Linked DNA regions of Elephas maximus indicus. The protein of the gene in region 2 interacts with the protein of the main gene of each other region in a biochemical or structural test. Links are inferred from orthologs where the notes say so. Each region holds a gene or a part of one and is shown on either strand. Other genes may lie near its edges.

The links. The genes of interacting proteins can lie anywhere in the genome.
Region 1: the proteins of CDK7 (region 2) and GTF2H3 form a complex in vitro, tested with the Homo sapiens proteins (2 studies listed by BioGRID). The link is inferred for Elephas maximus indicus from reciprocal best matches to the Homo sapiens genes CDK7 and GTF2H3.

Annotation. Positions count from the first base shown.
Region 1 is NC_064840.1:6,741,807-6,748,860, forward strand, and holds the start of GTF2H3 (general transcription factor IIH subunit 3), read right to left. Parts: upstream 3,017-7,054; 5' UTR 2,956-3,016; coding exon 2,943-2,955; intron 329-2,942; coding exon 249-328; intron 1-248. Other genes in the region: EIF2B1 (translation initiation factor eIF-2B subunit alpha), read left to right, coding at 3,220-3,232, 4,292-4,393, 6,395-6,531, 6,664-6,780. UniProt on the Homo sapiens protein: Component of the general transcription and DNA repair factor IIH (TFIIH) core complex, which is involved in general and transcription-coupled nucleotide excision repair (NER) of damaged DNA and, when complexed to CAK, in RNA transcription by RNA polymerase II.
Region 2 is NC_064820.1:74,677,767-74,685,496, forward strand, and holds the start of CDK7 (cyclin-dependent kinase 7), read left to right. Parts: upstream 1-4,670; 5' UTR 4,671-4,781; coding exon 4,782-4,847; intron 4,848-5,166; coding exon 5,167-5,226; intron 5,227-7,730. UniProt on the Homo sapiens protein: Serine/threonine kinase involved in cell cycle control and in RNA polymerase II-mediated RNA transcription. Cyclin-dependent kinases (CDKs) are activated by the binding to a cyclin and mediate the progression through the cell cycle.

The DNA of each region.
Region 1 (7,054 bases), on a different chromosome or scaffold from region 2:
GGAAACCCTGGTGGCGTAGTGGTTAACTGCCACGGCTGCTAACCAAAGGGTTGGCAGTTCGAATCTGCCAGGCGCTCCATGGAAACTCTATGGAGCAGTCCTACTCTGTCCTATAAGGTCGTTGTGAGTCGGAATCGACTCAACGGCACTGGGTTTGGTTTTTGTAAAGCTGTTTTTTGTTACAAAGCAATATAAACACGTTCTCAGTTAAACCAGAATCATCCAAAGGCTTCCTTAAGCAGTCTTACCTGAGATTCTTTTAATGCTTGCTTTCCCCACCAAATTGGGTTGGTGTCAACTATGATCACTAGAAGATTCAATTCATCTTCTGAAAATGTTAACAACAACAAAAAAAAATACATTAGTCTCATGAGAGTGAATCACCGCTAACATTCCCCATTAGTACAATTTAGAGCAAGCACCAACACATGCTTTTATATGTTTATCATCCCACAGCCATATTAACAGAAGGCCAAATTCTTTTAAAGATTTAAAACTTAGTGGGTCCTGAGCACGCTCTCGCCTGCTTTCCATGTGATTGTACCTTCCCCCTTTCCTCCTCCAAGCCACTGCGTTCTTTCTTGTGTCACAGGAGTAAAAGGTCTGACAAATTCAAGGACCAAAAGCAATGTTACCTCTTTCTTCCCAAAGCCTTCCACAGGTCTTCCAGCAAGAGATCCTGACTCCCTCCTCTCAGGTGAGAGGGAATGCCAGCCTTCTCTGCACCAAGCACTGGCATATATAATCCCATAATCCTGTTTTATACTAAAAGCAACCCAACAAGGGACATATGAATGCTGTCTTTCATCAGTTATAAGCATTCCTTTTTCCTTTTATTTTTATATTTATGAATCCTGTCTTTCATCAATTACAAGGCATTCCTTTTTTTTTTTTCATTAAACTCAGGGTGGTGCCTTACTATTAAAATTGACAGCATGTTTTGTCTCTTCAGAGGTACATAAAATAACAGCATGTCATCTTAGATTACATGAAATACAGTATTCTCATTTTGCAAATAAGAGCAAGTTGCCCAAAGTCACATGTCCTGCTGGCAAGTGGCAAAGCCAAGACCTTGCTGTAAAGACAGATCTCCTTGACTCTAAAGACTGTAGTTTTTCATTGCCCCACAGCCTGACTCTGACCACTAGCTGCACCAATGGACACTCCTCTAATGACATTTAGCTCTCACTACCTCATGTTAGTTAGTTGTGTGCTTCTCATCTCTCTTCCCAGCCCTGCTCACTAAACTGTGGAGGCCTTAAAGAATGATTTTTGCTAGTCTTGGGACAAATGACGTAATAAGTGTAAATCACAAAGTGGCTAGCACAGAAAAAAAAGAAGCAGGGCTTTAATAACTGTCTCTCCCACAGGCCCTCACTTCTCTACCCATAAGCCCTCAAACCTTTACCTGTATTCCCCATCAGGCCCCACCTCACAATTCTCAGAACCGTTAGTTCTCTGATGTTACCAAGACAGCCTGAGAAAAAGAGAGTATGTTGCCTGTGTGGAGAGTTATGTGTATCAGTACATCCAAAATGTCCCTGTGAACGTCCTTTGGGTCTCGACCTCCTCATCTGTAAATAGGGACAACAAAGCCAGGTCTGCCCACTGCCCTGACAGGGAACACAAAAGAGAATCCCTGATGGAGCAGGAGAACAGTGGGATGCAGACCTCAAAAAGACCAGACTTATGGTCTAAGACTGGAGGGACCCCAGAGGTCATGGCCCCCAGACTCTCTGTTAGCCCAAGACTGGAATCATTCCCAAAGCCAACTCTTCAGACAAGGATTGGAGTGGACTATATAGACAAAATGATACTGGCGAGGGGTGAGCTTCTTGGCTCACGTAGACACGAGACCATGTGGGCATCTCCTGTCTGATGGCAAGATGAGAAAGCAGGGGGGACAGGAGTTGGGTGAATGGACATGGGGAATACAGGGTGGAGAGGAGGAGTGTGCTGTTATATTAGGGGGAGAGTGGCTAGGGTTACACAGCAAACTGTGTGTAAGTTTTTATATGAGAGACTGACTTGATTTGTAAACTTTCACTTAAAGCACAAGAAAAGAAAAGCCAGGTCTGCCCCCCTCAAAGGGATGTCGTGTATATTAAAACAGATAAGAGAAGCATGGACCATTTTTACACCCTCAGAATGGATCTTCCTATTTCTTCTCTTGCTCACACAGTCCATTTTCCACACAGCAAACTGATCTTTCAAAAATGTAAATTAGATCATAATATTTCTTAAGTATGCATCACACTTAAAGCTCCAGCTATGCGGCCCTGCATGATGCAGCACCTGGCAGCTCTCTGGTCTCATCCTCTTCTACTGTCCTTCTAGTTCAGTCTGCTCCAGCCATCCTGGCCTCCTTTTTCTTCCCTCAAGACATCATGCTTCACAGCTTGTAGTTTACTGTATGAATAAATGCCTCCCCACCTTCGCCATCACCAGGTTCCCCAGTTCTGTCTTCTCAGTAATGTGGCGTCTTGACCTGCCACAAGGCCTTTGCACTTACAATGCACTCCCCCAGGAACTTCGCATGGTCGACCCAAGTCTTAGTTTAAACATTACGATCTTCCCTGGACTGAAGTAGCTCTTGCTCCCTCCACTAAGCACAAGCTACCACATCATCCTATCATATTGTCTTCGTGGCTCTTGTCATCCCTTGAGATTATTTTTGTTTTCCTGCTCATTGTCTGTCTCGCCCACTAGAATGCAATGCCATGAGAGCAGAGACCTTGTCTATCATGGTCTCTGCTGTATCCTCAGCGCATAAAATAATGCCTAGCACACAGTACCCGCTCCACATTTACTGAGTGAACGAATGAATGAATGCATTCGCTACTCCTCTAAACACCAAATACGTCCCATCCAGCCGAAAAACTACACTCCATTTCGCCGGTCCTGGCCGGGCAGAGTCCGCCCAACCCCGGCGCAACTCTCACCGTCTGAGACCATGGCGGCCTCCGCGCAGAGCCAGCAGCAATCGGGCGACCGTCGGGAATCCGCGGACCGACTTCCGGCGCTGCCCAGTGACGTCGGGACAGGTTTGGACGGGGCCGCGCCGTACTCGTAGACACGCTCCCGGCGCGCCGGAAATGGGCTGCAGAACTGCGGCGCGCGCTGTCAGTCTCAGCGGCTTCGAGCCGGCACAGTCGCGGCATCTGTCGAGGCAGCGCGGGTGCTTCTGATCTTCCCGAGCTTCGCCGTCCGGAGCGCACCATGGACGAAAAGGGTAAAGTGGGGCGAGGCAGGCTGGGGCCACTGCGCCTAAAGCGGGTCGGGGTCTCCCATCTCGCACGCCCAGGCTGCACACGGAGAGAAGAGAGGTCGCTTTCCAAGCTCAGGCAGCTCTGCAGCGTGTCCTTCTTCTAGTAAAAGCTACATCTCCCTCGCTGCTCCTATAGGTGGGGGATGGGCCCTGAGAGTGTCCACAGGCACTGCCCTCCCCCGCGCGCTTCTTCCCATGTCCATTCTCCAAAAAAGTGAGACTTTGGACGAGCGTGCAGGCCTTCGAAGACTCGCCTTCTTCGTATGTGAAATAGCAATAAGACTCCCTGCCCTAGTGGATCTGTTACAATCTAAAAAGTAAGGCATAGCCGACATACTCCTCTAATATGGTTTTGAAGACATTTAAGTAAAAAACAAGGAGCAAGCTAATGTACAAAGTACCTATCATGTAAAAAAACAAAGGGTGGTGGAATTCTGCGTACACAGATGTGTATATGTGTGCGTGCGCTTGAATTAGCCAAGACTCTCCTTGAAAGGATGTAGAAGAAACTGATAATGGTGGTTGATTCTAAATCCTCTCAGGACTTGGGATTAAGGATAGGAGAATGACTTTTCACTATCATTTAGCAGAGCTTGAATTTTATACCATTGAACATGGACGGCCTTTTCAAAATGAGACAGGAAGAAAGCTTACGAACAGTAAAGTGGCGTCATTTCCGTTCCCATTAACATTTGTCGTCCCCCTGAAGTTCACTTACAGCCAAAACCTTGAAAAGAAAGTATTCCTTGTTTTGTTTCCTACTGTTGTTATCGTTAGGTGCTGTCGAGACGATTCCGACTCCTAGCGACCCTAAGTGACAGAGCAGAACTGCCCCATAGGGTTCCCAATGCCATTATCTTTAGGGAAGCGTATCACCAGGTCTTTCTCCTGTGGAGCTGCTGACTGGGTTTGGACCACTAACTTTTTGGTTACCAATTGAGTGCTTAACCACTGTGCCACCAGGGCTCCTTTTTCCTAAGGTTAATAGTCATTAACCATGTCTCTTTTTTTCTCCTTTCCCAGAGTTAATTGAATACTTCAAGTCTCAGATCAAAGAAGATCCTGACATGGCCTCAGCAGTGGCTGCCATCCGAACTTTGCTGGAGTTCTTAAAGAGAGATAAAGGTAGGAGAAGAGCATCCTCAAACATGCTGGGCCTTAGGAAAGTCTTCCAATAGCTGTTAGGAGAAGTGAAGAAAGTGAGAGATGTATGTCTGCCTACGTTAGGTCTTAGAGCTCCAAGCTCACATTCTTCTTCATTTAAGCGTTCCTTTTAACCTGTAGAGAGTCCTCAAGTTATCATCAAAGGGCTCCCCCCATTTCAATCTCTGAGTATTGACAATTTTATTTATTTCCAAATCTTTTTTTAAATTTTATTTGTTGTTGTTGAGAATATACATAACATACACCAATTCAACAGTTTCTGTATGTACACTTCAGTGACATTGGTTACATTCCTCAAGTTGTGCAGCCATTCTCACCCTCCTTTTTTGAATTGCTCCACCCCCATTACCATAAACTCACTGGCAAAGGGCCCCCCTTTTATAAGTGAAATATCCTTTCTGTGCGAGTAACTGCTGTATCAAGGTAACTGTAAAGTTTAAAATTTAGCAATACCTCAGCTTTACAAATGTTTATCGAACGTTTTCCCTGTGCCAGATTCTGTGCAGGTGCTAGAGAGAATGTCCTGGAATAAATTCTGGACTTAATGACATTAACTGTGATCTATTAATTCAGACATCCTAAATGTAAACACTTGGGTATTAAAAAAAACACACCAAACCCATTGCTGTCGAGTGGATTCTGACTCATAGCAACCCTACAGGACAGGGCAGAGCTGCCCCATAGGGTTTCCAGTAAGCACCTGGTGGATTTGAACTGCCAACCTTTTGGTTAACAGCCAAGCTCCTAACCATCATGCCACCCGGGTATCTACGTGGATGTAGCATGATATTAAAGAGCCCTCTAAAGGGCTGACCTAGAGACCGGTGTCTCTAAGACAGTCTCTAGTGTCTTCCCCTTGTCCTTACAATAACATGCAAAGCCCTGGGCCTCCACCACGTTGCACACCTCCTCTGCGTCTGCTACCTACTTCCTTCTCTGCTCCCCCTCATTGAGCTCTGCTTCAGTCGTGCTGGCACCTCTTTTTTCCTCAGGCCAAGTTTGTGCCCATCTCTGGGACTTTGCGTTGTTATAGTCTACGCCTGGTAACTTTCCCACCGGATCTTTATGGGGCTGGATCCTTCCTTAGTCTGGTCTCAGTTTAAATGGCCCCCATTCCAGGAGGCTACCCCTGTTGTTGTTGTTATTGTTAGCTGCCATGAGGTAAGTTCCAGCTCATAACAACCGTATGTACAACAGAATGAAAAACTGTCTGGTCCTGCTCCATCCTCACAATTGTTGCTGTGTTTAACCCCATTTTTGGAGCCACTGTATCCGTCCATCTCATGGAGGGTCTTCCTCTTTTTCGCTCACCCTCTTCTTTACCAAACATGATGTCTTTCTCCAGGGACTGGTCCCTCCTGATAACATGTCCAATGTACGTGAGACAAAATCTCACCATCCTGGCTTCTAAGGAGCATTCTGGCTGTACTTCTTCCGAGACAGATTTGTTCATTCTTTTGGCAGTCCGTGGTATAGTCAATATTCTTCAAGGACACCATAATTCAAATGCATCAATTTTTCTTCAGTCTTCCTTATTCATTGTCCAGCTTTCATGTGCATATGAAGCAAATGAAAATTCCATGGCTTGGGTCAGGGGCACCTTAGTCCTCAGAGTGACAGGTTTGCTTTTTAACACCTTAAAGAGCTGTTTTGCAATACATCGTTAATCGTAAAGCAGTGGCTGCACCTTTCTCATTCTGCTTTTTTCTGTCCCCGTTACATCTGTAATTAACTTGCCTGTTTATCTGGGTGCTTGTTTATCGTCTGCCCCCTCTTCTAGAAGGGGAGTTGCAGCAGAGCAGGGACCTTATGCATCTTGTTCACTGATGTTCCCTCAGCAGCTGGAGAACCCAGGCTTAGTGTACGCACCCAGTAAATAATCACTGAATGAATTCATGAATCTCAGCCTCCACAAGGGGCTGTGGTGCTAAAAAGAACACATTCCTCGTGTGGTCATTCCAGGGGAGACAATCCAGGGCCTGCGAGCGAACCTCACCAATGCCATAGAAACCCTGTGTGGTGTGGACTCCTCTGTGGCCGTGTCCTCTGGAGGGGAACTCTTCCTTCGCTTCATCAGCCTGACCTCCCTGGAATACTCTGTAAGCCCTGCCCTCCCACTTCCCTATTTGCTTACAAACACCCTCGGCCTTACTGTGACCCTCTCCATCCTCTCATGTCCTCGGCTTTACTGTGACCCTCTCCGTCCTCTCACGTTGCTCTTTCCTCCCTAGGATTACTCCAAATGTAAAAAGATCATGATTGAGAGGGGAGAGCTTTACCTCAGGAGAATATCGCTGTCAAGAAATAAAATTGCAGATCTGTGCCACACCTTCATCAAAGACGGGGCCGTAAGTAGATGTCTATCACGTGCGGTAATGAGGAGCAAGGGCTCTGGAGTCAAACTGCCAGAGGTCAAATCCTGGCTCTGCCACTCATTTGCTTTACAACCTTGGGCAAGTTCCCAAACCTCTCTGTGCTGCCGTTTTCACAAATGTTAAATAAGGGTAATAATAGTACCTGCCTCACAGGGTTGTTAGAAGAATTAAATGAGTTAGTATGTGTAAACGTCTCGGGACTCTGCCTGGCACATAGTAAACGCTCTATATATGTAGATGGTTGTCG
Region 2 (7,730 bases):
ATATAGCTAGCTTAGTAAGTGTATCCTACTGTAAAGGGTAAGAACATAGCCAAGGTAAAACAGGTGACTTTTTGGTACTGAGATTGGAGATAACACAAAAGATTGTTTGTAACCTATACTCAGAAAAAATGTCAAAGAGTACAAAATGGAAAATAAATCGAGGCCAAAATGACCACAGCATAGGAATAAACGTTTGACTAGAAATTGTAATTTATTAAGTTTTGAGGGCTGTTAAAAAGTCTTGTTCTTTGGTTTATTTTATTGTTTTCATGTGATCACGTGTGCAAATCCTGATAACCAGTAACTTTCTCAAACGTTTCTGAAAGCCTCATAAAATCAACTTAATACTTATCTTATTTAAGGTAATTTGTGAAAATTTAATAAGGTTTTCCTGCCCCAAGGGTATGTATTGTGAAAGTAAAGCCTCACAAAGCCAAATGAATTCTCTTACATACCTTTGGTGATTTTTAGAATATGCCTTAAAGAAGTCAATAGTAAGGGTAGCTCATGAGCAATAGACAAAGTAGAATTGTTGTTGAATACATTTCTATATTCTGTGAGTTAATCTATACTTTCCTGTATCCTGCCAGTGTTGAACTGCTGCTGGTGTAAATTCTGTATTGTGGCCCACTGTAAGTGTTGCCCAACTCAAATATCAGATAAGGGTTTGATGCTTGCAGTATGTTGATAACATAAGTTGTAATGGTAACTCATGAAAAATATATGGTTCGTAATTCCTTTTTATTATTTAAAAAATGTTTTTGGAAAAGCATTTTTTTTTTCTAACTAGCATTATTCTTTTTTCCCCTGTCAAAATAAATAACTCAGACCGCCATTAACAGATTGCTGTGCAGGTTTAATAGACAACTTTAAAGTTGGGCAACATGTCATTACTCAGTACATCAGTGCTCCAGTTAAGTAAAAGATTTTCAGGGTACTTATATATAATTTCATCAGGAATTTTGAAGAAAAATTGTTACCAGCTGAGATTATATCAGAATACGTAGATCTTATAAGAGAGCAGTATGTGCTCAAACATTGTCAAAGCTTAGATAGAAACCGTACTAAGACAATCACAGATCAGTGAGCCATGGCTTTAAGACCTCTGGAGTCTTGGAAACAGGACTTGTCCATTAATCTTTAATTGTTTTCTGAAAGAATCAAATTTCAAGTGGTTCAGTGAGCCTGATCACCTAAATACAATTATGTGAAACTCAACAAGCTGCTTCTAAAAGTTAGTTACAGTTCAAGGCATAACTATAAGCTTTAAGATATATATATAAATATATATAATTACACAACACATAGGTTTCTAACATTTAGTAAGATAACCTTTAGTGTCATGGACAAGAGACCTCTGTTTTCATAAAGCAAAACTTACAATTTTATTTTATACCCCTTAGTTTTTTTATTTCAGTGAAAGGAAGCCCAGGACCATTTTTTTTTTGTTTTTTTTTGGAATCTATTATTGATCCTGTAGACAGAAACTGATGGAGTGAACTTAAAACAACAATAATCACTTTGACTTGGTTACCTAGTGCTGCTGTGACACAAATACCACAGATAGGTGGTTTTAAAGAACAGAATTTTATTTTCTCACAGTTTTGGAGACTAAAAGTCCAAATCAGGATCTCAGCTGTGTCAGTTCCTTCTCTGAGCCCTTCAGTTTCTGGTGTGTACCAGCAATCCTTGGCATTCCTTGGTGTTCCTTGGTGTCTGTCTTCTGAGTGTGTGTGTGTGTCTTATCTATTCTGGTCTTTTTATAACTCAAAGTGATTAGGTATAGGATTCAGCCTATATTGGCATGACATTAACATAACAAAAGAAAACCCCCTATTTTCAAACAGGGTCTTATCTACAGGTACAGTGGTTAGGATTTCAACACATATTTGGTGGGGGGAGGGGGACACAATTCAATCCCTAGCACACTTCTGACACAGAGAAACACAGGAGCAGTTTGGCTGGACAGTTCTTAGTGTCTTGTGAGGCTGCAATCAGATGCCACCTGGGGCTGCAGTCATATGAAGGCTTGGCTGGGGCTAGATGATAAATGCCCAAGGTGGCTCAGTCATATGGCTAGCAAGTTGGTGCTGGTCATTAGCAGGAAGCTTCAGTTCTTTCCATGTAGGCCTCTCCACAGGACTGAGTGAATTCATATGGTGGCTGACTTCCTCCACAGCATGCAAGGTAGAAGTAGCAATGCCTTTTATGACCCATCCTCAGAAGTCACACAAAGTCACTTCTGCCATACTTCACTGGTCACACAGTCTGTTTTGCTGCGGGAGAAGACTACACAAGTGCATTAATACCAGAAGGCAAAGATCACCGGAGGCCATCTTGGAAGCTGGCTACTACAGATACGTGAAAGCACTTTGTAAAATGCAAAATGATATACAAATGCTGAACAGTATTTTATACATATGACCACATTACCCCAGAATATCATCTAAAATGTCCCCAAATAGGAATTTACTTAGTAGCATGGTTATAATGCTGCAGTTATGAACTCCTATACCACAGTACGCTTGGGAGCCTCACAGGTGCACCATCAAATTTAGCTCATTATTTAGCTTATTTCTGCTTCAAGTTTAGGTAGATTACTGTTACAGTGATGTCTGTCAGAAGGAACTTTGACCTAGTCATGTGACACCATGCATCACGAGGTATTACTTGCCACAAGTAAAAGAGTTAGCAGTGTTAAAGTTGGTATGTCTTCTGTAATACAAGAAATTATGCCTGAGTGCATCAGCTCAATAAAAACCCAAGTAGTGACAAAGGGCTTAAAGGTGACCAATGACAGGAATGGTCAATATAAACTGAGCACTCAGCTGTCAGACACTAAGGGCTTTTATAAGTATGAACACACTATAAGCCAGTCCTATTACAGAGAAGAAACTAGGCACAGAAAAGTTTAGTAATTTCCCCAAGTCAAACATCTAGTGATTGAATACTGGTGAGGACAGTATTAAATTGCAAACAGTCTGGTTTCAAAGTAAGAACTCAGCCTCTACACTATACTACCTCGACTACAAAATTACCCTTGGTAATTCTGCTGCCTTCTTCAACACATCTCTGAAGATAGCATTCTTAACTCCTAGAAACATCAAATGCAAAGACAAGGGGGTAAACCTTTCCATCTTTATAGCAGCTCAAGCTCAAAACCTTAAAATCGCCCCCCTCCAATATCCAGTGTATCTATAAATCTTATCTGCTAAAAACCAAACCAGCCATCTGGATTACTGTAATAACTCTTTAAGAGACCTTTTTTAAATTACTACTTTATTTTTTTATTCTTGAAAGTATACACAGCAATACACCAATTCAACAATTTCTACATCTACAATTCAGTGACAATGATTACATTCTTCAAGTTGTGCAACCATTCTCACTCTCCTTTTCTGAATTGTTCCTCCCCCATTGACATGAAGTCACTGCTCCCTAAACTTCCTATTTAACCTCTGGAGTTGCTGTTGTCAATTTGATCCCATATAGTTTTTTTAAAAGAGCACAATGCTGAAGGCAGACATTCTTTCTGAGTAAGCTAACCTGTTGTTTGGTTTGAAGAAGACTTCAGGGGATTATAATTTAGGTTTAAAGGTTATCTTAGGACAATAGTTTCAAGGCTTCACCCAGGCTCAGTGGCCCAGAAGTCTGGATTCCATGAGAATCTGAAATTCTCTAACAGACCTTGCTCCTCTAAATCTAGTCTCTCACAACAACCAAAGTAAACCTTTTAAAAGAAGTCGGATCATATCTTTTATCTACTCAAAATCCTCCAATGGCTTTTCATGATGTTTTTCCTCAACCACCCTATTTAAAATAACACTCCCTTATTATCTCCATAGCACTTATCACTAAGTATCTTAACATATTTTGCTTATTACCTGTTTCTCCCACTGGAATGCTGATTTTTGTTTTGTTCCTTGCTGATTTCTCAAAGTCTACACCAGTGCCTGGCACATAGTAAGCACTCAATTACATATTATTTCAATGAGTTAATATGTTAACTTTATTTTGTTGATTTGTATGAAAATTGATAGGGATCTAGAAGTTGGGTATTTATCACAGATAACACACAGAGCACTTACGTGTCTAAACTTTCTAAGTGTTTCATCTAATCCTCACCATCCTATGATGTAGTCTATTATGATTTCCAGTTTAAAGGGTAGAGAATTGAGGATCACAGCACGTTTCAACTGAGTTGAATTTTTAGACCTGCTTTATAAATGAACTGGACTAAGAATGCCTCTAGACCAGTCCCTAAGAAAGTGACACCTGGTTAAGTAACCTGTGATCGCGGAGCTTGGCGTCCATAGCAACCGTGGCGAGGCCATACACGATCATGAACTAGCTACAAAGGGAGATCAAGGAAAAGGACAAGCCTCCCACACTCACACACACCTACCAAATTCCGAACTGAGAACACCAAATCCGAACGCCGACCTGTCTCCAGTAGCTAAGAAAAGACCCAAATTAAGAACTGTAAAAGGGTGACGCAAACAGCCACCATCAGATACACTCCTTTCGCGGAACCCGGAGTAGACTACGTCGCAAGGCGGGGGCGGTACAGCCCAGCCAATCAGCCGGGTCTCATGCAGCTTCCGGAGGGCGGACCCCGCTGGTATCCACTTAGCAGTACCCCGCCCATCCCGGAAGTGGGGCGGGGCTACTACAGTGTGGGAGTCCAGTGAACGGAAGAGGCTGTGGGAGCCTCTGAGGTAGCTTTAAATTCGCTTGGTTTTTGGAGCCTTACGTTTTCGGAGTCAGGCTTCACGCGCCGAATGGCTTTGGACGTGAAGTCGCGAGCAAAGCGTTATGAGAAACTGGACTTTCTCGGAGAGGGACAGGTGAGGGTCTCGTGCTGGGATTGGGAGGGCCCGGAGCGGAGAGCACAGTGCCGCCTCAGACCCTCGCGGATTTTCGCGTGGGACCAGCGGACTGGCCTGGCTGCTTGTTCTCCTTGGTGGAGGCGGCCCAGCCGCGCGTGCTACCCTTCTCTTTACACCCTAGAGGTGACCCCTGAGCAGCCCCCTCCCTTCCGAAGAACAGACGTGGAGTATCCCACCACATTTCTAGCGGCCCTGTGCTTCCCAAAATGTAAAAAAGTAAAAAGGCAATTACAAGAAAACTCCATAAACTCATATGTTATTTCTGTTTTCTGTCTAGTTCGCCACAGTTTACAAGGCCAGAGACAAGAACACCAATCAAATTGTCGCCATTAAAAAAGTGAGTTACACTTTGGGTCATTTCTCTCAAGTCTCTTTGAAAATGTATTATGAGCTGATAGATGACCGTTTTAGTACTCTTGATCTCTGCTAATAAGTTATGTCATTTTCAGAGACGATAGAATTGGGATATTGTTTTCTAAGATAGAACTCTGGGATTGAACCAGTTTGTTGTTCCATTAAATGAAACTGAAGTGAAGAAGAAACTGTACATTATTTTTGCTACATAAACTTTGTTGTTATATAAAGGACAAGTACTGCCCATCTGTTCCGTCTATTTTCTGCTGACAGAGTTACCATGAAAGGCTTTCACTAGCATTAGCAATAATGTGTGTTGCATTATATTTAAATTATTTATATAGCTTTTTTGCTTAACTCACATTGATTTAAGAAACTTAAGCCATATTCAGCATACATTCTGTGACTCAACAGTATAGCCACTCCTTTGTAAAACATCTAAACTCTCCTGATCTTTTCAAACTTCATCTTTTCGATTCTACCCCTGGTTCACTATATTCCACCACACTGACCTTTCTGTCCCTTTAACACATTAAATTCATTCCCCTCCCAGAACGTAGCATGACTGATTCCTTCTTATTTTGGAGTCTCACTCAAATGTCTCCTCCACATAGAGGCCTTCCCTGTCCACTATAGCTAAAACCGGTGTGTCCCTCTCCTTCACAGTCATTCTTTGGCATATTTCCTTGTGTCATCTTCATACCATTTATCAAATTCTAAAATTCTCTTATTTGTGAGTTTATTGTGTTTTCTTCCCCTTACATTATGCGTAGAGCTGTGACTGGCACATTTGTAAAAAACAAAACAAAATATATTGACCAGACTGACTAGTTGTTCTTGATAGGTGCAATCGAGAATAGAGTCAGTTCTAATAGTGACCCTGTAGGACACAGCAGAACCGCCCCCTAGGGTTTCCAGGGAGTGGCTGGTGGATTTGAACTGCCGACCTTTTGGTTAGCAGCTGAGCTCTTGACCACTGCACCACCAGGGCTCTGACTAGCTAGTATGATGTATTCATATTGTTGGCATATTGAGCTATATAGTTGTCTGAAAGTCCTAGTAGCTTGGCGTTTTTTGTTTGCTTGCTTTTAACATAAATTAGGACTTAGAATCTGTTTTTCAGTAATAGACTTTTCTCCTTTGAAGGTGACTTGTAGAATCTTCTTTTATGTTTAACCTTTATTTCAAATAATATATGCCTATAGTTTTAAAAGTCAGTTAATAGAACAGGATTTTAACCTGCCTGACTCCTCTTTACCCAGGTTTTCATTCCTCAGAGCACACACTTTAGACTCACCTGTTTCTTCTGGTGTTACCACCATATCTTTAAGCAATATGTTTATGTATTATTATTTCTTGAACTTTTTTTTTCCCCTTTCAATTTTAGACATTATCTATGCTTCCCACTATGAACATTGAGGATCTAGTGCTTGTGGACCTTCCCCTCCTGTGAGGCAAAGAACTCAGTTTGGCCTTTGTCTTTGGTTCCTGAGAGATAACCCTTGGAATCTCCTGAGTAATCAAGATGATTTTATTATCTAAAACCTCCAGACAACAGTTGAGGATTTGTACAAATGAGTCAAGGGGCTGGCCAGGCCACAAGGACCACCTGGTCAGCTAACCTCAGGGAGGGAGGGAGGGTGGTATGATTTAATCAATTACGCATATTCAGTGAGACCCCAATCATGACTATGCAATGAAGCCAGTAAAGGCCGTGGACATAAAAGTTCCAAGAGCGTCCTGGTTGATGAAAGACATTGATACATGTGGGAGGGTGGCATGTGTTTTGGAACATGGAAGCTTCATGTTGGTAACCCACCCTAGCCTTGCCCTGGGCATCTCTTCTTTATGCTGATCCTGATTTCTGTCTATTTTTGATAACAAATCTGTAATTGTGAGGATAGTAATTTCTGTGAGTTGTTCCAGCAAATTTTCAAACCCAAAGGAGTAATGGGAGCCAGCAGGTGAAAGTGAGGGAGACCAGGAGAGGCCCCTGAGCTTGCGGCTGGCTCCCTGAAGGGGTAGTGGGGAAACCCCTACTTTGTGCCCAGCAAGTCAGAAGTAAGGGTGTGGTGCAGACCCCCAGGCTTTCATCTGGTGTGTGCTTATTTGGCAGCCTAAAGGACAGTGTCCTTTTAAGTTGTGAAATCTATCTAGCTCCAGGTGGCTGGGGTTAGAGAAAGAAGTGCCATATGGGTGGCTGGAATCAGAACTGAACAAGGAAAGTGGGAATTTGTTATATCTTCATAGTTAGTAACAGAATAGTGGTTTTCTGAGATTTCCACAGGACAGTTGCAGTTGGGATGTGAACACTGATTTATCCTTACACCTCTCAACACCCATATATTTCAGTTTCACCCATATACAAATATAGTTTATAGCAATTTTTGGCTAACAATACAAAAATGTGTAATTTAGAAGTCAATTCTCTCCTATGCAACTTTGAGGAAACCCTGGTGGTGTAGTGGTTAGGAACTATGGCTGCAA